Linked DNA regions of Lepisosteus oculatus. The protein of the gene in region 2 binds, or shares a complex with, the protein of the main gene of each other region. Links are inferred from orthologs where the notes say so. Each region holds a gene or a part of one and is shown on either strand. Other genes may lie near its edges. The genes, in order: ntrk2a and frs2a.

The links.
Region 1: the proteins of frs2a (region 2) and ntrk2a are in contact, whole or in part, in an NMR structure (PDB 2MFQ), measured with the Homo sapiens proteins. The link is inferred for Lepisosteus oculatus from reciprocal best matches to the Homo sapiens genes FRS2 and NTRK2. Residues at the interface, in NP_001036020.1 of Homo sapiens: Val26, Asp27, Asp28, Asp29, Gly30, Tyr59, Leu60, Cys61, Leu62, Arg63, Arg64, Tyr65, Gly66, Tyr67, Asp68, Ser69, Asn70, Leu71, Phe72, Ser73, Gly77, Arg78, Ile86, Ala88, Lys90, Phe98, Gln102, Met105, Gln106, Ser109; in NP_001018074.1 of Homo sapiens: Pro498, Asp499, Val501, Ile503, Gly504, Met505, Thr506, Lys507, Ile508, Pro509, Val510, Ile511, Glu512, Asn513, Pro514, Gln515, Tyr516, Gly518, Ile519.

Annotation. Positions count from the first base shown.
Region 1 is NC_090698.1:61,692,766-61,705,461, reverse strand, and holds the start of ntrk2a (BDNF/NT-3 growth factors receptor), read right to left. Parts: upstream 5,880-12,696; 5' UTR 5,819-5,879; intron 5,569-5,818; exon of another isoform or gene 5,476-5,568; intron 4,989-5,475; exon of another isoform or gene 4,858-4,988; 5' UTR 4,507-4,857; coding exon 4,301-4,506; intron 2,588-4,300; coding exon 2,513-2,587; intron 2,425-2,512; coding exon 2,353-2,424; intron 1,821-2,352; coding exon 1,752-1,820; intron 1,482-1,751; coding exon 1,333-1,481; intron 1-1,332. UniProt on the Homo sapiens protein: Receptor tyrosine kinase involved in the development and the maturation of the central and the peripheral nervous systems through regulation of neuron survival, proliferation, migration, differentiation, and synapse formation and plasticity.
Region 2 is NC_090702.1:23,423,804-23,435,878, forward strand, and holds the start of frs2a (fibroblast growth factor receptor substrate 2a), read right to left. Parts: upstream 5,888-12,075; 5' UTR 5,203-5,887; intron 1-5,202. UniProt on the Homo sapiens protein: Adapter protein that links activated FGR and NGF receptors to downstream signaling pathways.

The DNA.
Region 1 (12,696 bases), on a different chromosome or scaffold from region 2:
ACACATGAAAAGTGTGACATTATTTTTCATTTTAGTTGAATTCTGTTTGTACAATACTAAGGTAAAGTGATAGCTCCATTGAAGCAAATGCTTTTTTTTATTAAATGTAGTATGCAGCTACACCCCTGACTGAAATAATTCATATTATTGATCACAAAATAATGTAACACAGTTTCATATTTCAGTGTGACAGCAATCTGCAACCACATAGTCAACTCCAATCTTTTCAAAGACGACAAGGATCAAAGTGCTGGTATAGTCATTACTAAAGCCTAACCTAAACCCTACAGAAATATTATGGGTGTGTCTAAAGAAAGGCACAAATCTGAATACAGGTCAACTGTACTAAAGAATCAAACAAAGGAAATCTCTTTATATACTCACTTCTGATGTGCCAGGTCCTTGTTTTCCAGCCAAGCCCTTATTTTATTTCCAATCTGCTTTAATTTTAAAAAATCTACCACATGTGTTTAAGATACATCATGTGATTTTTTTAAATGAAAGTATATTGAAAATAAAATTATGGCATGGTTGGAAAAAAGGAACGTGTGTTTTTCCTTGAATTTAATACAGTATAAGAATTTGACTAAACCGTTATTAATCTGCATGCTTCTTATTTTGCACACTGTTGGTTTAATAATTATTTCCAAACTGGGTACCAAAGTTCATTTAGAACCAAAAAGTCAAGGCCTACAACTATTCTCTATAGCTTCTGTAAAGCCTAGTGAGACAGATAAAGCTCTTTAAATGAATACTATAATTTCAATATAGTCCAGGGTTGGCAAAGAAACCCTTAATGAAAGGTAAACAGATCTAAATTACACAATGGGAAGGATCATCATTGGATGATAAAAAACTAGAAACATTTACTTCAAAGGCAAAAGAGTGATGTCTTACTTGTTAACATATTAAGCTTTTTCTGAACACAACTGCAATCAAGTTCCTTTTGCTTCTGAAGCAGAGGAAATGTGTTTGACCAGATAATGCATCTTAATGAAATGCCATCACTGTGAATACAGAACCTGAATGCATTATCATTAACTCCAGTGGGCGAAGGAAGAATGCCAGACCCAGAACTTTACCATTACCCTTCATCCACGTAAAACATATTAAATGCTAAACGTCGTGTTATTTTTCAGTTATTTTTCAAAAGTTATCTTTAATAATTGAACTATCATCCCACCACTTGTTATTTCACAACAAGCCCTTCAACAGTTTTTTTTTTTAATGAAAATACATGTTTTTATATATAGTACACCAAATTGCATGGTTAAATAAATCATGTGCATTTTATTCGGGGGTTAATTTTAATAATAGTAAAATTGAAATTACCGCACTCTGGAAGAGACAGTTTGGAGAGTGGCTTATTTCTATTTTTGTCATCCCAGCACACTATCTCTTGGCTCTCTGTTTCATCTCCCAGCCATAGCTTGATCCACAAGTTACCACATGAGCACTGCAAAGGATTGCCTGAAAGGATACTAAATGGCAGGGTTTTCACATTAAAGTGCTATTTTGATAGACAGTTCTAAAAAGACAAGAAAATAAAGGAAATCCGTGGCAAAGTTTATTTTTACTGGGTAAAACTACTTTATTCTGTATTTTATTCAATTATCTTGAATTTACAAAAAAACATATTTTTGCTTGTGTCACACAAAAAGGATTCATATCAGCCTTTCCTAAGGTAAAAGCATGCATATTTTATCAAACAATCCCATAGACAGATATTTTGCTTTATCACAAATACTTACAAACTTGTCAAGTTTAAATGCCGGAAGGTCCTCCAAGACAATGATGACAGCCTGTTGTCTTTTAGATTCCTGCAATTCAATCAATCCACAAATAAACACCTTCATAGCACAAAACACGCAGTGAGTAAACCTAGCAGACAAGGCCTATTAGTACATCAGCCAACGCTAGGATTTGGCTCTTATTTGAGAAGACACCATGCTCAGTTTCAAATTGTGCTGCACACAGAATTGTATTTATAGTTCTTGACCGGTTATAAAATCACAATACATCTGAACACTGTCACTGAGATATACTGTAGATATAAAGAACCTGCTGCAATGTAAAATGTCTGAATCATTTTGTGGCAAAAAGAAAAATACAATATTTTTAGCACACTCCCCTTTGTCAAGACATTTTAAAATTAATCACTTGAAATCCAAATGAACACCAAAGTATGTGTACATGACTGAAAAAGAAAACTAGGTTTTCATGTTGTACACTAGATGTTAGTAATTTATTAAAATAATTAAAAATGTGTATATAACATTAAGTTTTTTTTTTCATTTATCCATAAACTGAAATGAAAGTACTCAACTTACAACTTACAAAACCATTACTTACAGATATTGTAGCTTCACATTGTTCTGAAAGGCCAAACGGGATATATAAGTCAATCCCGAGTTTGTCACAGTTCTGTTGACAATGAAAACAAAATGATTATTGTTGTTGTCGACTGTTGTCATAAGTATTATCATTGCTGTTTTTAATATCTGATACTTACAAATTCCTGAGGCTCTTATAGAACTTCACATCATTATCGGTGATGGCATGTAAATTACTTTGATTTGCAATGTATCTGTTAAAAGACATTAAAATAATGTTACAAAAAATTAATTTGCCTTTTACACAGTTAATAATATAATGTGCATAACTTAAAATAATGGCCTTACATGTTCACTAACCATTCTTGAATATTTTTGTCATTTCCAAAAACTATTAAAGAATCCCTTTGCTCATTGTGTGTTGTGCTTTTATAAAAAAGAGGGCCCTTTAAGATATTTTATCAATTAATTTATGTTAAGTCCAGTTATTGCTTTTTAGCAATTCCTTATATAATCGCTTCTGTAAAACGCCTCTATAAAGTGGGCTACATGCTTTAGTCATTTTGTATGCCTTAGTAAAGGCCTTAAAATATTTTGATGAAAACAGCTGGCGAGGTGAATTTTTTTTTATCGATTAATTGATCTAGTCTCTTAAATTCAAAGTTGGATCGATCTAACAGTTGTGTGTCAATTAACGCTTTTCTTGATGCACTGGTGGTTTCCCCATAGTTATATCACAGTGTTTGAAGACTTTATATCGCAGCAAATTATACAGTCTAAGAACCTAAATAACTAGTATAAAATAAGGCTACACTAAATGCGCTCTATCGTCTGTTTGAAAGAAATCTACCTTGTACAACAAATAAGAAAAAAATAGTTTCAGGTACCTAAGGGGCTTGATGTTAAGTCTTTAGCAAAAAAGACACTTCGCGGATTAATGTGTAGCGAATTATACGACTCTGCTTCCTTTAAATTTCAATGGCCACATTTATGTTTAGGGCCTTTTTTATCTCAGCAGTCTATCTTTTCAATAATAAGATAGTTATAAAAAAGGAAGAATAACAGTCTTATAATTTCACACCACAGCTGATGTATAATAGCTATGCTTCTGCATAACCTAGCTGACCAATAAAAAGTCAATTTATCGTATCTAAAACTAAAGGTGAGCCAAGAACTAAATTCGTTTGCTGTAGGGAGTGATTCTAATATGCCGCGTCTTTGCTCGGATTTTGCTAGGGTTGCGTTCCTTTACAGTCTATCAATCCTCTTATTACGGGAATGCAAAACTGGCTGATAGCAGCAGCAGCCTAAGCCGTTCCACATTTCAGCACCTTTCCAATGAAAAAATGACATACATCCTATTGAAAGTCGTTTTCGCAAATACGTGTTTCTTGTTCCACACACGTTGTCTAGTGTCGGGTATTGGGTCCATTTTAGTTAAATAATTATACCACGGCCACTGTTTGAACATACATATAAGCGTGTAGTTCAACTGATGCTGCCCTTTAATGGCTCATACAGTACAGTACAGTGTACATCGCATTTACCACTGACAATCCTTTAAGATCTACATAAACCTAACATATACAGTAATCCATTTACTTCCAGTGTATTTGTGTGAACAGAATTGGCCACTTTACAAGTTTATTTTAAAAGCACTCTGAAAACAATCTGCCGGAGCTTCCTTTTGATACATTCCTTCAATCTTTCTGCTCATCCTTTCCACACATGTCCTCCAGTGATTTTATTTTCTTTAACACTAGCCCGCTGTAACAGATGAGCCGATAAGTCAACCTTGCACGATGCTGCTTGAATGAAACTTAATTCTGGCTTTGCTCACCGCACATTGCAACGCGTTTCGTCTTAATGTTTTTTTTTCATTTTCGTTTCGTTATGATTTTTGTAGTACAACTGGACACATTATTCCAATCCTGAACGTATCCATCTCTCATGTGGATGATACTCACATTTCAGTAATGTTTTCCATTTCTATATCGGTGTTTAATACAGGGAAAGCCTTGATTCCCCATTCTTGATCGATACTGGTACATGAAATTCTTGAGGTGCTGCATGTACAAACTGCAGGACAAGCGGCGCTAAACCTCCAAAGCCCCAGCAAAATCCAACAAAATCCCAAACGAGCCATTACACGCCACTTCCAAGAGGAGATCATAGTGGATCCCTCGTTGCCCTTTCCAGATTTGGTTAAATGATCCTTCCTTATAAACCTGTCGGCGATCTTGTCAGAAACAAAGGCGAAAAACCATGAGATAATCCTTTCGGTAAGAGGTGAGGTTGTGATCGAATTGTCTTTTCTCTCTCCGCAGTAAGAGAGTCATACAATATTAAATGTAAAGGCTTTAAAGTGTGCCAAGGTTTCCTTCCCCCCTCTCTCCTTTTCGTTCGGTGTCTTCACTCTCCAAGGAGATTTGGGTTGGCTGGTTGATCGCAGTGGTGCAAAACACCACAGAAAAAATGATGCTGTTGCTGCTGCTGCTGCTGCTGCTCCGTTTCTGCTGCAGGGCTGGAGGAAAAAAAAAAACAGGCAGAGATGATCCACGCAGGCTGAAGCGAGCGTGTGGTGCTGTAGTGAAAGAGCGAGTAAGTGCGTGATGAGGACAAGGCAAGGAGGTACCGAGTACCAGCAGTCGTATATCGATAATTACCACACGCGATAAACCTACAACAGCCGCTCGTTGTAATTACGAGCCTGATATCAGAAATGATTTTCGCTGCGATTTTCCAGGAGCAAAAGGTTATTGCTAGAACAGAACAAAATAAATCCTATATAGACAAAACTGGAGACTGGCTTTGCATGGCATGAAACATGTTAATCATTTAGAATACCATTATATTAAAACATGGTGAGACAACCTACACCGGAATATAAATTTCGAAAGGAGATTGACATTCGAGAAAATCAGATTAAAAAAAATGTTTGAATTTAATCAAAGGCACACCTTCATATTACCTGATGAGGCTGCAGTGATATACTGTACCTCAGAACAAGCAAGCGGTAAAAGCTTCCAAGTGTGTTTAATTTACAGTCTGATTAAAGATATGATTTGTACTGTACCTATAAAATGTGAGGTAGGAAATGTATGGATACCAAAATAATGCTATAGAAAATGTTTAACAATACCTATTGCCAGTCACTAAATCCAGCATTACCAAATATCGGATGAGAGTCAATGTGCCGCGTTGTTTCACACACACACACATAGGCACTCACTCACGTAGTGTATTCCAATAGCTGTGAATGTGACGTGATATTTGACGCAAATATGAGATTCTGAGAGAATCTCAGAAATCAGAAATACGCCAAAATGCCTACTGTAAAATGCTTGAAGTGATTCCAAATATTTTGCTTTTATCTTTACAATTTTGAAACTAAACATGTACACGCAAGCATAGTGTCTGTATTTAGCGCAAAAAAAGTGAAGTACGCTTCGAGGTTTCTAAATGTGTGTTAGTGGCAATATCACCTGTTAAAAAACAATCAGCAGCAAACAGCCGTTGAAAACACTAATACTGTATATCCGCAGCAATTACACTGGACCAGCATCGCTTCTGTATAAATTATTATTTATACAGGAAATACATTGCATAAAGAATTGAGAAATTACAGGATAATGCTCAGAGTTCAAGGAGGCAGAAACGCAATAAAACCCTGTCTCCAGCGTCACAAGACACCTAGTCGTGTCTGTCAAAACTTTCGCCTGCAGTGTAATTCCGTGTTTTTGTCACGTAATGTCACCAAATGGGAATTTCCCATTTTCCTAGCACGAAGTCACGATGTTCTCCTCACGGATTTACCGCAGCATAAACACACCTCACACATTCTTCATAATAGTCTATATTTGATATGATTACATGTAATAGATCGTATTTACACAAATAGTATCTGCATTATATGTAATTCAACCCCTTTAGGTTACTAAAAGAGTTCTGTCGCGCTATCTATTATCAAAATTCTAAATTTGTCTAATTTAAATATGTATAATGTATGTATAAATAACAATGTGTATATACAGTATATATGACTAAATGCTTCACTTTAAGGGACAAGCTGTATTCTACTGTATAACCTTCAGGGTACAGAGATTTGTTCGTCGTTTGCCGATAAGAAACTTGTAAAGCGAGCTTTTATTTTCCACCCACACAACGATAATAAAGAGCACCTGTTGTTAACCGTGGTAATTGTGGGATCGTGGTTGCCGAAAGGTGAAGACAATGTGTTTTCTGGGAATACGCCGATTCATTTGGCTCCAGACATTGTACCGCAGTAATTCAGCAGAGTGATAGGCACATTTTAAATGGCTGCCCTGACACCTAGCGAGACTTTAGAAAATCTGCACATGTGAATAATACACAATCCCTTGACCTAGCTGCGCCCTTGCGTCTTCAGAGGCTTATTGTATTTATTACATACAGGTCATGATGAATAAGCATTTGTGTATACTGTACATAGTATGAACTTTAATGTATTATGTGTTGGTATTGGACTGCAGACATTCTGAAATGGTTCCCAAGAATGGCAATACCCACTAAGTCTCCAGCAAGGAGGATAAAGATCCAAAGAGCACAAATCTGAGAAGGAACTGTACGGAGGCAAGGGATGAAGAGTATTGATGATACACAGTATAGTTGTGAATCATAAGAAAAAACGGTAAAATGTCCAAAAATATGCCATCATCAGCATTTTGAAGGCTCATACTGAGAATTCAGGCAACGTCAAGTCAGCTGCAGTTCTGTACAGCCCAACAAGTGGAACTACTGTATGTGATTTACATAATGGAAAGGTATTAAAAAACACCTCTACACATATTTCCTTGGCAAAACCACTCTTTTTTAAATGCAATTGTTACAAGATTGTGTTTTTCCCAGTATGAAACAGACAGAAGGCATTCAAGGTTATGCATGACTTTGAAATTAGAACTTGTTCATGTACAGGAAACCAAGAGTAGCAAATACAGTAGGTAGCTGTGTCCGCATGTGTAGGCTGAAAAGGAACAGATAAAGGTTTATTTCATTCAGAAAAGAGATGAAAAGAAACACAACCTTTCAGCTGTGGAGCTGCTAATGTGGTCCAATTTAGCCAAAAATGTATTGGAAAAAAAAGGTGCGCACACATACACACACCGTATTCCAAAGAAACTTTAAAGAAAATAAAATATGAAATCTGAAAACAAGCCATTCCTTATTGATGACAAAATTCTTACTGGCACTTTCAAAGTTTTTGTAACTTGTTTGGGATTATGAATGTTGTTCCTTGAAGCAACAAAAAAGCTTGTTTGGACTAGCTTGATAATTAATGTGGGCTGTAATTATTGACTGAAACACTGAAAGGCAAAAAGATTATTCCTATTGACATTATTCTTGAATTCTTCATCTGTGAATGATCTCATCTGATTTTATTTAAATTATTTTGCTTGCAACTCAAACAATAAAGTTCAAAAGGATCAATGAGGTTTTAGTGCAGGCAGTGCTTTCCAACTGTGATGTTTGTAGAGTCTTTGCACAAACTGTTACTAGATAGAGTTATGATTGTTACAAGATAAGTAATCAGAAATGACAAAACCTACAGTCTAATGCAATGAACAAAAGCTATAACTACAGGTTATCCTTCAAAACTACAAAATAATATTTCAATACAGCATTAAACACATTATCTGCCTGTTTTTACAGAATACATGCATATTAACAATATTTTCTATGACAAGCTCCAGATGAGCACTTCTGCCTCCTAGATAGCACTAAATTAAATTTGTACACATGACAGTCATTACACTGGTAAAATGAATACATTGGCCAGTGTTGGCATACCACAGGACCAGTAAACAATCCAACCTGATCCCATCCAGAGTATCCAGTATTGAAGTTTGAAACAGACCAGCCCTTTATCCATTTCCCAGCCGAGCCAGATAACTAGCTAACTACGTTTTGAATTTCAAATTCAAGCTCTCATCCTGCCACTGTAGCTGCCCATCAATCTGTCTGCTCATCAGTCCATCGTGGAAGTAGATGCTCTCCTTTGACTGCTATCTTATACATACTTCTTATACAAATATTCTGCACTCCTTAAATGACTTTGGGTAGAGAGGCAAAAGATTTCAAAATTAACTAAATTAATAACAATCACATTTCAACGTTTCAAAACAGATATGACTTTCACTGGATGTTTATAATTGTTCTCCAACTACCTTTTCAACTGAAGTCTATGTATGCAAGGAAAAAATACTTGACCATTCTCTTAACATTGATATTTTTTCTTGATAAGTACATCTTAAAAGACTCAGACAATTCGCAAGGAAAATTGACATGCAGCTGTAATTGAAAAATGGCCCAGTGTCTAATAGGCGCATATTTAGCATTGATTCACTTAGGGAATCTTCTCCCTGTTTTATTGTGTCTAAGAATATTTCAAGGTTTGCAAAATCAGCAAGTCTGCCCATATAAGATTAATGTAGAGAGCTGGATAATGTGCTTCACTCAATAATTTTGTGTTTATCTAATTATATTAAATATAATTAAATCAATATTATAAGGGCCTTGTTTGTTCTTAGTAGTAATTCAGACATTCAAAAACAATCTTTTTTTTCACTCCCCCCAAAATATCCCACTGAATCAACTTTTTGAGAACTATTGGATAATTGTACATTACTTGAGACCTGGCATTTGTTCCACAATGTATTTTACCTAAGCAAATTGAAGGTAAAACAATTGACATGTACTTGAATCACCAAAGGCTGTTTGTTCTGGTTCAACCTTTATGTCTTATGTTTTCTCCTTACAGTAGGCTAAAATCCTTCCAGACAAAATCTGTTCTTTTCAAGTTTACATCTAGTCTGCACTCCTTTTAACCTACATTTAATACAATTTGAAATTTTGCATTTTATTAGATAGTTAAATAGTTAAGTTAAATTTGCATTTTATCATATATAATCTCTTTATATTTGAATGTTTTAATTCAGAGCATTAAAAGACGTCTAACCTTATGATTATTGTTCTGATCAGTAGCTCTGGTTGGGTGTCCAAAGTGTGTTACCATGTTTATGCTTAATCAAACTGACTGCTTCTGAATCCCTCTCTTCTAAGCAGTAATCTGCAGTAAAGGCTCTGACAGTACAGGAGATGATGAGACAGAGTTGCTAACAGATGGCTATTTCAAGGTGATGTATAACAAGTGAAAGCACAGACATTACAGTATAAACTGTGTAATAAACTAGGCCCTATTATTAATCCAAATACTGTAGGGAATTCCCAGTGAAGAGATATGTGGATTACTCCTGCACTGGGATTGCAGGAGTAGGTAGGTGTCGAGGCAGGCGAACAATCCGGTATGTCAGGCGAGTTCGTGGTCAAAAGGAGAAAGGTGGTTCGAAATCCAAGAAGTACAAATAGTGGCAAACAATCCAAAACGAGAGGCGAGGTCCAAAGTCAAAAGGCAAAAGGGAAGTCCAGAATCCAGAAGAGTGTGAGGTACAGAATAAATGCCAGGTAGAGCTCTCAAAGAGTAGACTCAATACGGAGCAGCAAGAAGTGGGTCTGAATGGCTAAAATACTGCAGCTGGCCGCACGGTAGGGCTTCCGGTACTGAGTTAACACGTGCAGCGGCACTTGTAAGTATCGCCCTGCTGCTGACACTGGTTAGCTCTCTTGGGGGCTGGTCTGGGCAGGCTGGTGGTCGTGACAAATACCAATGACATGGTCTGATACTTACAAAGCCTGAATTTCTAATGTAGTATCAGGGCTATATGAAGGGATTTATTAGCTTAGGGTGCACTAATGCTTTTTCTCAACATAGGCCACTCTAACTCCAGTTCCTCCGTAAAAGATTTTGTATAGCAAGGCCAGCTCATGTAAAAACCTCCCCAAGTGTACAGTACCGTTCAAAAATCTTTACAGATATGCCAGGGAGAAAATAAAATATATAGCAATGCTCATTCTTTATTATCGGACAAATATGTGTATCCATGAACAGATAACTGCTTCCTCGGTTTAAAGCTAGTTTTACCTCGCACATATATATAAAACACTCCTTCACAATGTGAGCGTGAGAGACAAAACTGTTGAATGTGAGAGCGTTTTGTGTGTGTTTGTGAGAGGTAAAATGGAGAGTGTGATAACATTTAATGTGTATGTGAGAGGTGAATTATGACCCAATGTAGGTGGTCCGTCTAAATGGCACAATGTGATTGGCTGCGAAAATGTAACAACAAGCTGTCTCGTTTTCTGCTGCACTCCAAGATAAAGGAAAGAAATCAACCCAAACTCTAAGAAGCACTAAGACAATCTGTAGCTTTAATTAATAACATCTGAGCCACACCAGAAGCAATAGCTTCATTGTCATCAGCTACGACGCCCGCCATTAGTGTTCTTCTGTCTGTTCTTGCTTCTGGTATGTCCCTATCTGTTTTGTACAAATATGAGGATAGATTAACCTACTTGAGTAATTAGTTATTCTATAACTTAAATTGCTCATTCATGGATCCATTTAGATGTTTTTGTCTTCTTTGTTCATCATTTAGTCATACTCAATTTGTCAGGCAGTCTTATAACCATGATTATTTGTGCCAATGTTCCCAGAGAAGATGATTACAAAAAATCCAGTTTTATCATTTCAGATACAATGTCTGTCAAAATTATAAGAAAGAAAATAATGTTTTGTTGAACATAATACTCCAGGTTCCTGAAGAACCCTAATCCAATAGGTTACCATGAATATATCAATTTCTCATATTTGCCTTGTAATATGAGTAAAACTTATGCACCTTGTACTTTTCTTCATGTTTCTGGAACAATCCTGCTTCAGCAGCATTATTGAAACATGTAGCTAGCATAATATCTGTTTTATCAGAGTTGAGACCTGATCTCTGTTAATTTGTATCAAGATGACCACTCGCTGAGTGGTTTTAAAGTAATGCAACACAAAATATATTGGTGGGTTTAACAGCAGCTAAGGGAAATCATACTTAAGCTCTGGACTGAACCTCTTATGGCCACATAACATTGCTGGCTAATTGTGTTTTGGGACATGTTTCAAAATGAACTGTCGAGTGCTAGATTAAAAGGTGCAGGTTTACATATACGGTATTAAAAGGATAGTCTCCACTTTTCTGGTCAAGTGACTATAAGAGTAAGTTATTGTTAAAGAATAATATTTGTTTTATTTATTTGCTATATTTGTGTATAAACATATATATATATAGTTATTTTTTTCAACAACAACAGACGATCTCCAAATAAAAAAAGAACTTTAGATCTTTTCTTTAAAAAAATCCATGGAGGAATGTCATTGGGATTGATAAAGCAGGTGATTTATTGAGTTTAGGAATATACAGATCACTTAGAGCCAAAATGTGAGTGCTCTTAAGACCTCAAGAACCTGTCAATGATGATGATCTGGACTAAACTGTTTCCTTTAACGTTCTTCAAACTAGATACAGCTAAATGCACTTGAGTTCAACAACCTTTTTCCTGAGTTGCCTTCACTGAAGAAGAGGAGGTCATGGTGCATGTTCCCCACTGGCTTCTAAGTTCCTTGCCTGATGTTTTCTAAGGAATACTTTTTGACCTGTTGTGCAGCACAGATTCATTTTCTTTGTGTGTTTGATGGTTCAGTAGTGCAAATGTTTGGAAACACCTGGGTTTTCTTAGCCGGATTCACTTCCCCTTTGTTTGATGAATCCTCTGACACATCACACTTTCCAACCAGATGATCTAAGTTTGGTCTCTATAGAAAATATCAGTGGACCAAGGCAAGTTTTACCCAAGATGCTAGTATTCCCCCTGTCTGCTTTAAACAAACAAAAGCCACTGTTTTACTTAATTGTGGAAAACCTAAGTGAGGAAGGATCACGTCTGACTTTAATGCAGCATGTAATCTATATCATAAATTATTTTAATCTTACTAGTTATACTGCAAATGTTCTCAGATGATGAAATATCAGTATAAGAACAGTATAAGAGAATAAATCAAGCCCTCATTTAATTTTTTTCTTAGATCTTGGATTTTGGTTTCTTAAGTGTTTCGGCATATTTGAAAAGCTGCACTTGCACATCTTTTAATAGGTAATAAAGATTAATGGTTCTTTCCATACAGAACTTTGACCATGTTATTGCGCCGTCTTTAAAAGTGTGACCTCAGACCTAACAATATCCTTGCTAATGCTTTTAATAATTTGCACAACATGACCAGGGATATGAAGTACTTTTTAATGGCACATTAGTTGTACTAATAAAATCAACAAGAAAAAACAGCATAAATCAAAGTTGTGACCATTTAATATCTGGTGCCTTCTTTTCACAGAACCAAAATACATTGTAGTGACGTAAACAGACTTATAAGATGCACATAAGT
Region 2 (12,075 bases):
AAATGCCTCTTTATTACACGATACGCACATATCCTTGAAATGCAATCATCCCTTGAAAACACACAACTGCTGAAAGGCAATCACAAATGGAAATGCACTCTCTATATTCATTTAATGGCAAGGAATATATTTTTAAAGCACTTATAAAGAACAAGTGATCAGTATCAAGTGCCTCAGTTAATGTGTGAGGTATAAATTCAAGTGTGATTTGCCAGTGGCAAATCTGGACATCTTGCAATCAGGCTAACTAAAATGCAAATACATCCACTTGTAATAGGGCTGATAAAAGGTTAAAGCCGATTTACAGAAAAATGCCCCTACACGTCAGAGACCATCAAGCTTCAGATAATGTTGACTCTACATGCACACTGCATTATTAGATAATGCATCATGTAAATGACAGCACTTCAATATGTAAATCCATATGCATGTACAGCTATTCCGCTATGGCTTGGCTGCAGGAAATCGAAAAACAGCTCTTCATTACTTCACCAATTATAATCTAGACTAGGGGCTCACAAAGACCCAGAACCTCTGGCCTTGGGGTACAGTCATTCCTGGTTTTTACTGCAGCCATGTTCTTTGATCACAGCCTAATTTCACTTCTCTGTCTGAGCTATCTTTCTATATGTGCTTTCGGCTCTTAAAACAACCAACGGGATTCGTAATGGTAACCAGCCTGTACCAATTTCTGAGTTTCAGGACTGTCAACATTCGAGGGTGTGCTACCTAAAATGTAACCAGTTTATGTGGGCCTCTGCAAAAGGCAAAAACTCACTGTGGGAGTGTCTAATACAGAGTCATTCCCACCCGTGTCTGCTCATCATCAGTTCATGAAGCGGCAAGAGCTTTCCAGTCAGAAATATGGGAAAACAATCTGACGAGAGGCTGTGTGAAGCTCTGTGTGATGAGGTTGTTAGAAACAGGACAGCTGAAGTCGAGTATTTGTGACTCTCAGAACAGACCAAAGAAACAAGTTAAATACAAGTCTAAACAAGCAAGCAGATCAATGAAGTCCTCAATTCGCAGTGGACATGTACTGTAGCTCAGTTAGAATGAAAACCAGCAGATAGTGATCCTCCTGGACCGGGGCTGGGAACCACTGATCTAGGCTCAGTTGATTACATGGGTGAAAGGCTCTTTTCACTTGTCCCCTGTCTGCCTAACTAACCTATCAAAAACACATCCACACTGCAACAGGCTCATAAACACTCAGCAAACTGGCAGATCGCAGAGGCTAACCGAGGCTGGGCCTGATCAGTGGCAGAATGGGTGACCTCTTGGGGAAAAACCAGGTTGCGGTTGGCCGACCAGGAGGCGGCAGTCACCCTCTCTGGTCCAGAGGCCTCTGGCTATCATCCCCTCGTGATGACAGGGGGGGGCACTGTGCTGAAAGTCATCCTTCAAAGGAGATAATAATAATAATAATAATAATAATAACAACTTACACTTATATAGCGCTTTTCTGGACACTCCACTCAAAGCGCTTTACAGGTAATGGGGACTCCCCTCCACCACCACCAATGTGCAGCCCCACCTGGATGATGCGACGGCAGCCATAGTGCACCAGAACGCTCACCACACATCAGCTATCAGTGGGGAGGAGAGCAGAGTAATGAAGCCAATTCATAGAGGGGGGATTATTAGGAGGCCATGATTGGTAAGGGCCAATGGGAAATTTGGCCAGGACGCCGGGGTTACACCCCTACTCTTTTCGAGAAACGCCCTGGGATTTTTAATGACCACAGAGAGTCAGGACCTCGGTTTTACGTCTCATCCGAAGGACGGCACCTGTTTTTTACAGTATAGTGTCCCCATCACTATACTGGGGCATTAGGACCCACGTGGACCACAGGGTGAGCGCCCCCTGCTGGCCCCACTAACACCTCTTCAACCCAGGACCTCAATGGCCATGGCACAGTTAGAAAACCTAGGGGCGTTAACCCTGGAGTCCTGACTAATCTCCACTCTGGGCTGGCACACCCTAAAACACCTAACCCCCTAACACCTAATTCAATCGGTGAAGCGATCCCAGTCTCCTGCACCTGACCGGCTGAGTACTGGGGGCAGCCCCACTTTGTTGGGTGGTTGGGGACGCGCGTCTCCTCCGTTATGTAAAGTGCTCTGGGATGAACAGCACCACACGCGGGCAGTTCTCACAGAACTGTTTCTTATCCAACAGGAGTCACAGGAATGTGACCAGGAGATCGACAAACACCCCCCACTTGATATATTTTTGCCAAGGTGGAGCACTGAGACACTAAACCTCACAGATGTATCTGCCGAGTACAGTATGAGGTACAGTATGACAAAGAGGGGGAAAAAACTCAGGCTATATTCCACAGCACCCAAGAGTCAATTATATGAATGAAGCAAACCAAAAAAAACAGTCATAGGAATATTCCTCTGGAAAAGCTTTTTTTACTCATTTATTTCCTACTGTTGTTTTGATTTCCTTCGTGTGAGTTCATGCAACTTGTTTTGCCTGTGTATTTGTGCTTTTACAGAAGAAGCACAAAAAAATCAGACTCTACATTTATTTTGAACAAAATGGCTCTCTTAAGGCAATTTAAAGGGAGTCCAAATGAAAGGCACAAACCTTTTTTACACTTAAGTAACTACATGTAAGTGTACGTGGAAAAGAAGCCACAATTTCTCCTGTATCTACAAGTTTTCTATGAGCCTTCTCTCGTGCATTTTTTAATTCGAAGCTCCTGAAACGGTGAAGAGCAGAGACGTTGTTAAATCGTTTCATTTAACGCTCCCATTGAAAGATACATTCAAAGTACCACAAGAGCTAAAGGGGTTTATATTTGCTTTGTATTTCGTTCTCTTAAATTCTTTGCACTGGGTTTAAAGTACTCACAGTATTGTATCACAGTAAAGGGCCGAAAAAACGTTTTGAGTGGGTTGCAAAGTGAAAGAAATAGACATAACATTGGGATTGTATGACTATGAGACTAAATAGTATAAAAAAAACATTATACGCAAGATTTTGTAATACACAATAATAAGTTAGCGGTCCGAAAAGCTCAAATACTTCCCAGTGCTGTGGGGTTCCGTTTGATTTGTTTAGCACAAATAAGCTTATATCCTAATTGAAGTACGGCTGTAACCCTTTTTTAGTGCTCGAAACGTTCGTTTTTCTTTTTTTTTTATCCAGAACAAACACCGATCAAAAGGTTTTGGCTACTCCATGAACACACAAGACAAAAATCTGCGAATTCGGGAAAAAAAAAATCCCTCTACGGACCGGAGTGAAAGTAAGCTGGTTATTACTGTTCTGACTGACACGGCGTTCTCCCGTTCATGGGTAGCTAACAATTACGAGCTGTGGGATGAAATTACTCGTTTTCCTGTCTGTCTGCTTTTCGAAGTAAATTTAACTTTTCAGCCAATTTTCTCGGAATCTTTAGCAGCTACCCAGACGGTTCGCGGTTTCAAACCCAAGATAAGGTGATATAATGTTTCGCACGACACCAAAATATCGAAAATAAGCACGACAGTCACCGGGTAAATACGAAAATACGACTTGTCGGCGCTACAGAAATATTACCAATGTTGTACATCACTACTAACTCCGATAAAACTAAGGTAAAAATAAATCAAATGGGCACAATTGTCCTATGCGCAATGAACAAAACCACACTTTTTATTTGATAGAAGGCTAAACTGAGAATACCGAGTCTAGATTAACAATAATTCCTAGACAACACCCAGGCAAAACACTTAGGAAACCATAAAGTATTTCTTGCATAAGGATTATCTTTAAACAATAGTTGGGAGTATAGCAGATAGGCTACTACCAAGTCTGAACAAAATACCTGACTTGAATTTGAAAAAGTCTGTTCTCTCTCTCTCCCTGGACTCCCCCCAAAAAAACTATAAAGGCGTAAATGTCAGCACCAATAATTTTAAGACTAGCAAGAAATGCAGAGAATTTGATTCCGTTATTCTCAAAACGCAGCTCCTTTTCACTCGAGGACCTCGCCAGTGGGGGGGGGGCGTGGGTCCGCGCACTGGCTACTAGTTAAACCCCCCTGGCGCTGCGCCAGCCCTTTCTCCCTCGAGTTACCTCATTACTCCTCAGCCGCAGCCTCGCCGAGCAAAACCCCCGTCCAGGCAAACACCCCCCCCGCCTTCCCTCCACACGAACAAACAGCAACGTCTCCAGCCCTCCGTCGCAGCGTCCCGCAACTTTACAACCGCGGACACGTCTTGAGAAGCTCTTCACCACGCCGAGCATTTAGTTTTGAAGCCAATTCAACCGTGGGCGCTCTTAAATTCTTTTTTTTTTTGGTCCATAAAAAATTCCTTTTACCTGTTGGTTATTTTAAAAAAAGAAACTCCAAAACGAACCGTTTCACTGTTTCCAATTATATCGAGGGACACCCCCCCTTCGGATAATTAGACGCAATAATTCCAATTAAGTGTAACTAGCCCCACCATTAACCACACGTTAATTGCAGGGTGTTATTTCAAAGCCCAGTTACGAATCCAGGTCCCAGGGGGTCCAGCTGTACAAGAAATCAACATTTTCTCAAATACTACGGTATATACAGAGGGTTTTACATGCATGTTTTACCACCTCTATCTTCGCCGCTGCACAGAAAGAAGACGTACAGCTTCGCTTTATTATTTAAATACCTCCCTCCACACACACACACACAAACGCAATGCCTCCCCCCAGCTTCAATCCAGCAAAGTTTTGAATGAACCCAGATACGTGCCACAACACAGGCACTCGGGCTGCCCCCACTGCCACGGTTGAAAATAACTCGCAAGCGGGCACTTCCCGAGCAGAATAAAAAACTCAGCGGACACGTCGGCCCCAACCTTATATACAAGGTTTGTTTTAAAGTTTTAAGGCGTCTCAACTCTTCGCCTCTCCTCCCCCCCCCCTCCTCACCGCATAGCAAAGCGAAACCACCACCACCACCCCAGTTTCTTAAAGCCCACACAAGCATAACAACACGCACCCGAAAGCGTGCGGAGAAACTCCCGGTCGAGGGGAGAGCGGGGTCTGCGAGGCGCCCGCCAGCCCCGCACGGCGGATCTGTCACGGACCGGCGGGCACCCCTCGGCCAGCAGCCTCCGCAGTGACCGCAGCGCCCGGGATAGAGCAGCGGGGAAGGGGGGGGGACCCTTCAGAACCAGCCAGCGCCGTTTTCCAGAAATGAATCAAAACTTTGGTGAACTTACGGGAAACGGAGGCTCGGGGAAAGTCGCGGAGAAGTCCCACTGGAGACGTGCGTCCCGGACTCCCGTGCGCCCGTGTAGCTGTGCTGCGTAAATCCCTTTTCCCGACTCGAAGGAGAGGAGGAAAAAGAAACCAACCCCAAGCCCAACTCCGTCTCCTCTCCCTCTACGTGCCAGAGCGCCAAAAAAAAAAACAAGCTCCAAACTTCACAAGCGGTTGCTTTCTCCCTTTTCCCCGCAAAAAAAAAAACAACAACACCCCCTTCGACAATTTTTTTCACCAACTTCTCGCTGTCGTCCTTTGTGCCTGCCGAGTCCGCGCGTCGTAGGGAACGAAATCCGGCGAAAACGCTGGTAAACAGAGAGCAAACAAGCCGAGCCAGCTGCTCTCCCGTCGCCCAGCCTTGGAAATCTCGCTCGACTGGCCAGCAGCTCCGGGAGCGCAGGGCCTCGATCCGCAGCCCGACTGCATCCGGGTCACCGCGCGTTTGGAAAGCGGGGGGCGAAGGGGTCGGGTCTGGGTTTCTCCCTGAAACCTATCTAGCGAGAACAATAGAGCTGCAAACGGTTGCCCCGTCTTTGGTGAACGAGTAAATGCACATTTCGAAGGCGTCATATTTATTGGAGACGGAGTTTAGGTTTTTGTTTTCGTGTGTGGCTACAAACTGTGTGAGCGAACTTTTTCAACCACGGAGGGATATTTTTCTGGTGCGCAAAAGACGCATCAGAAAAAAGTTAAATATACGTCGTTAAAAATAAAAAGATAATACAAATAAAAAAGTGTAAACTGCTAAGAAGCGCTACATGTGGATTTTTCTGAATGTTTTAGTGCTTCCAAACTTTTGGTTGCGAACTTCGTTAGTTGAATATGTTATGAATATGACAAAGTTTTGGTTCATACTGTAAATGTTACAGTCCTACACGGAGAAAAAAGTGTTTTCCTCGGAATTCCAAAACGTTTTCGTAGTTTCCTATTTTGAACTCTTAAAGCTGGACTGGAGTGTCTACAGTACAAAGCATTAAAAGGTTTGGAACACAAAACCTTTTTGGCTGGAACGCATCACACAATTAACTAAATACTGTATGATTAAGGTTAATACTTTAAAATGAAACTCTGCATTAAACATGGCAGCACTGCACTTAACACATTGTGTGGGTGAGTTAAGCAGTGGGCACAGTACCTCTATGAGGGAGTCAGTCCACTGATTGGTTAAGCCAATTACAATCTCCAATGTCTTCAATGTGCAGTCAGTGTGGATGGCTGATGCTCTGTGATTCTCAAATATGGATTTCTCTTTCTCTGTTGTAATGGACATCACACATGTATTGGTTCAAAGATGGATGCATCACTTATATAGGTTTTTAGTAATAAAGGCATGCTTTTTTTGCTTCCCTAACAGCACATCTCTCACTTCTTACTTCAACGAGGCTGTTTCTAGAGAATTTCTAACCTCTAGTGAGACCCTCTGCAGGAAAAGTTTGCTAGGTTTCCAGAAAGCCTTTTTCTTTTTCTCTTCCTTCTCTCGCTCTCATCCCTCCATTTTGTCCTCTGCAGCAATGGGTTTCAAGTGGCAAAAGCAGAGCGGTTAGGCGTGCAGTCAGAGTGCCCCAATCTTGAATCTTGGTTTCCTCTGGATTTCCACTGGAGACCCACAGCAGTTATGGCTGTGCTTCCAAGGGTCTCAACAAAATCTTAAGGCTTTTCAAGGGTTCATCAACCCCGGGTCTTAAAGCCCAATACCGGTGTCCAACCAGCAGCCATATCACCCTGCAACTCACAACTGGCAACCCACTGAAGCTAAGCAGGTGTGACCCTGGTCAGTACCTGGATGGGAGACCTCCTGGGAAAAACTAAGGGACACTATACTGTAAACAGGCGCCGTCCTTCGGATGAGACGTAAAACCGAGGTCCTGACTCTCTGTGGTCATTAAAAATCCCAGGGCGCTTCTCGAAAAGAGTAGGGGTGTAACCCCGGTGTCCTGGCCAAATTTCCCATTGGCCCTTACCAATCATGGCCTCCTAATACTCCCCCTCTATGAATTGGCTACATTACTCTGCTCTCCTCCCCACTGATAGCTGATGTGTGGTGAGCGTTCTGGCGCACTATGGCTGCCGTCGCATCATCCAGGTGGATGCTACACATTGGTGGTGGTGGAGGGGAGTCCCCATTACCTGTAAAGCGCTTTGAGTGGAGTGTCCAGAAAAGCGCTATATAAGTTTAAGCAATTATTATTATTATTATTATTAATTTCACAATGGTCTCGACAGTCTCAAGCCCATGTGGGACTTCATCAGAGGTTTTAATGGTCTGACTGTTTGAAGGTTTCGAGCCTCAGTCCACCTGCAGCTCCTATGTGCTCTACAATTCTTTGGTCTTAATATGGGCGAGGACCTTCCTCGAGGTCATGATTTTGTCTCAAGTCTTGATGGGGGACTGAAACTCAAGGCCCCAAGCCTCAAAAAGGGCATTTTCTCATTGAAGTAGACGCACCGTATGTCCTATGAGGTCACGGCCGAGCCCTGGACCCCTGCACAATTGTCTACTCCTCAGGGTCTTGACAGCCTTAAGTCTTGCTGTTGGACTCCAGCCTCGAAGTGGACATCTCCAGCTCAAAGTCAGTACGGTCTTGAGCCTTAATCAGGGATTGTGCCCATGAGGTTTTGGCAAGGTTTGATCCTGGACACAAACTCTTTCTCCCTGTAGTCTCAACAGCTCTTGTTAGGCGTGCAGTCAAAGTGCGCCAATTGGTTTTCACCCCCTTGAGGTCTTGACAGTGACTCAGCCCTCAGCAAGATGATACCCCTGAGATCCTCCATCCTCTAACTCCCCCAAAGCATAAGTCTTCAGGACTGCCAGATTCATTGCCAGTTCAATTTTCAATTAAGCTGCTGGTGTCTCAGGTCTTGCTGGCACATGCTGTGTGCTGATCATACTCACACCCAAGAGTGATGGTCTTGGCAATCCTTGGGGTGATATAGTGGAATCCCACAGGGATCTGTACTAGGACCACTATCATTCTGATTTATATCAATGATCTAGAGTCAAGTGTAGTTAGTAAACTAGTCAAGTTTGCCGACACAGACGAATACGAGGATTGGCAAACACTACTGAAAGGGCACATCAAATTAAAAAATAGAGATAAAATTCAATCGTGGCAGATAATGGTTAATACAGACATTAAGTGGAAGGGGCAAAACAAAGGAGCAATATCTAAGGGAAAATGCTGAGCTTGAAAAGGTTGTATATGATGACACATCATTCACATCTAGACAATATGGAGAAGCAATAAAAAGTCAAGGAAAATGTCAAGCATATATAGTTAAAAGATTAGAATTTAAATCAGTGTATCTTATGTTAAAAATTATGTTACATGCCTCCATCTTAGAAAGGGGACCTGCGATGTTGTACTTGCCGCCCAACCCTATTCCTGCACAAGGCCATGTGACATCACCCACCACACTCACCATCACCCGCCACGTTTTACTGTAAGACCTCCCTGGAGTCCCGGCATTGTCCCAGCTTCCCAGCATGTTTCATCTGGGGGCTGGTGCTCCCTCTCTCTGGCCATTCCATTGGCCCAGGGTGCATCAGCTCGTAGGGGGAAAAGATGGCAATGCCAAGTACAGTGACGTGCAACTGCGACTGCGACTGCTACTGCAACTGCCGAGGAGAGAAGTAAGAGTTACCCAAAGGAGGCCGTTTTGGGCTGCTTGCAATGCACAGATTACAAGAGAAAACCAACGCTGTGGCAAGCATGTGCAGAGCGCTTTGCGTGAACATAAGTCGCAAGGCCTGTACTTGACCGCAGATAACAAACCAGAGGACGAAAAGGAGTGAGAAAGCTGACTTGTTGTATTGTGGGACAGATATTTACTGACGTACAGAGGCTTTCTGCACCGCTGACATTCCACTACATAACTTAGACAACATTAGTACGAAAAGCTGTCTGAAAAAAACAGCGCCATAGCTGCCAGATCATGTCAGATCATCTCCAGAAAGTACTAACTATGAGTAAATGGTCATTTTACACTCTACAATTAATTAGTAGTCAAAATTAGATCTGTTGTTAAAACTGATATGTAAAGCATCCATATTGATGTAGCAAAAACTGTGTTATGTGAGTACATCTCCATGATTAGGGTGTTATTTTCCTGTGACCTGTCCGTGACATTTGCTAAAAATGCCTGTGTTAAAATCGTAGCCCTACCCCTGACCACAGCTCAGCCACACTTCTGCTCAGCCCGTCCTCCGTGCCTAAGATACTGTCTACCTTCCAGAAGACGCTTTCACCCTCTGAGCTGTGCTCGCTGTTAGTCCATCTTCTGTGTCCAGTAATGGCACTCTACATTTGTATGTGCCTTTTATAAGATCTGTGCACTTTTTTTTGCACTCTGAGGATGAGAACTGGGGTACCGCATTCTCCAAGAACCAGCAAGCCATTGCATTGTGGAGGTCCACGCAGGCGGTCCTGAGGGCTCATTCTGCTGGGGCCGCCTCCTCACGCTGGGCCATCTATAATGGGGCGTCAGTGGAGGACCTCTGACTAGCTGCAAGGCAGGAGCCACCTCCTACATTCGTCACTTTAGACATTTTGAACATTAAGAAGGTGGCGCGACCTTCTCTAGGGATGTAGAACTTTGCGGCAAGACTCTCAGAAGTCCCTTCCTGACCCTCTGTCCCTGTAGCCTCTGGCTATGGTTCGCCTGCCTGTTTTGCCACCGCTTGTGAACTCTTATTCCCAGGAGGAAGCAACTGCATTTCTCTTCAGAAGGAACGCAATCTTGCTATCATAATTCTCGTTCACCGAAAATAAACTGTTATCCTTCCAGGTCACTCTAGTGTCGACCTCAGACGGGCGCCAGCCTGACCAACAAATAATGATGAGCCACTATTATCAGCCCAGGTGACGATGGCAGTACTTTGTTTAAAGCAAACCTTGAGAGGCTGGTAGTGACAAAGGCAGTGAGCTCCCTAAGAGTGTCTGAGGGTAATGTTAAGAATACCCAGGTCAGTCGGGACATAACCTCCATGATTTACAACTTGCTTAGAAGTACAAAGATGAGACAGAAGACTTGTTGGAACAATGTTTTAAGGATAGGTGAGACCATGTGATGGAAAAGTAAAAAATTGTCGGAACAAAAGGAACTGCAGTTGCGCTATAAGAAGACCACCATCTGTGACACATAGCCTGGCCTGGGTATGTGTGGCCACCTCTGGAGCTGATCACAGGTCTTTTTTGATGATGTCACTAATGATGGCTGAGGCAGAATGAATTCTGAAGTTTACGGAAATATTTTATCTGCTTACGTAAAAGAAAACGCTTCCCTACATATTGGGCGAGGCTTCAGCGTGCCATTTGTCAGTGACATAAAATACATTGCCAGTGCCACCAAGGAGGTCACCAGGAGAAAAAAAATGCAAAATCTAAGACTGGCCAAGTAAATCACCAGATAGTAATCCAATTCAGCATGCGCTTTACCTGCTTAAGGAAAATCGTTCGTTAAAACACCCTTAGAATAAGCAAGAACTCAAAGTGCCCACAGCAAAGCATCTAGAATGATTGCACAAAGAGTTTGGTAAATTCAATGGGTCACGGGCTTCATGCAGTTATTAAATCAAAGAGGTATACAACCAAATACTAACTTTTACACTCTGATCTTTATTTAAAGAGGGTGTGTCCCAATACCAATGGTAATTTGAAATCACTGGTTCGAACACAAAGTATGTTTTTGTTCTAAAATGATCAAATGCACGCAAGGGATTGTGCAAAAATAAATGTATACTATATTGCACTTTTCTTTCATATTAATCTCATGATTATAAGCACAAATTGCTCGACTGTAAAGCAAAAATAATAGTTTTGATTTTGCTGTCCCAATACATTCGAAGGGCACTTTAGAAACCCCTGCCTCCCCCACTCATTCATGATTTTAAAACCTTCAGGAATAATAGCAGTGGGCCTGGAGGGATTTGTTTCTGTTCTGTTATCATAATACTAATTAAATTTGGTGTTCGCAACAGTTGTGCAGACTTGCAAGCACAATTTCACTGTATATCTGACGTTCTGCAAGGAATTGGCTTAAGGCACAGAAAATGTATTGATGTATTAAATGTATTGTTTCCTTTGACATTACCACAATATTGACTTAAAGCTATTGTATTGCGTATTTACTTCTTTTCCTTTTTTCTTATCCATTCTTTCTGATAGACTGTAAAATATCCAGATTTTGACCGACAATAAAAAAGGTCACATTACAGCTGGCTTGAGTGTAGGAGTGGATATTTCTCGGGGGTAGAAATGGGCAAAATTTAAAATGTTTGAAGTTTTGTGTTTTTATTTTAAATTCTGAAATGTATTTGACATTAAATAAATATTGCCCTTCTTTATACAGAAACTGAACCACTGAAAAAATTAAAGCATTAATGCCATTTTCCAAGCAACATGTAATAGTATATTATATTTTAAATTGTATTGCTTGCCTTCCCCCAGAGGAATGTATATCCACAACACAATAATTAAACATATTGAAAAGATACATTTAACAAATATTACATATTATGGTAATAAAACACTACCGAATCATTAATATTCCTTTGTCTTCCATACCTAGGTGCAGAATGTAATATTTTTATGGAAGTGTAAAGTTTTCAAGTGAACCTCTAAATGGAAACTTCTCAGAGATCAGTTTAGTTCATTAGCATACTTTCTGGTCTCAATTTAACAGCAGAAATAGCAGTCTTTGAATTACACTACTGCTATTCATCCATTAGCTCAGTTAAAGGCTTGGAGATGTAATCTTTTTTTCCTATATTTCATGTTTCACTGTCACTTCTGAAGAAATGCACTGGGTTGATTGTATCAAAGTATGTCTCA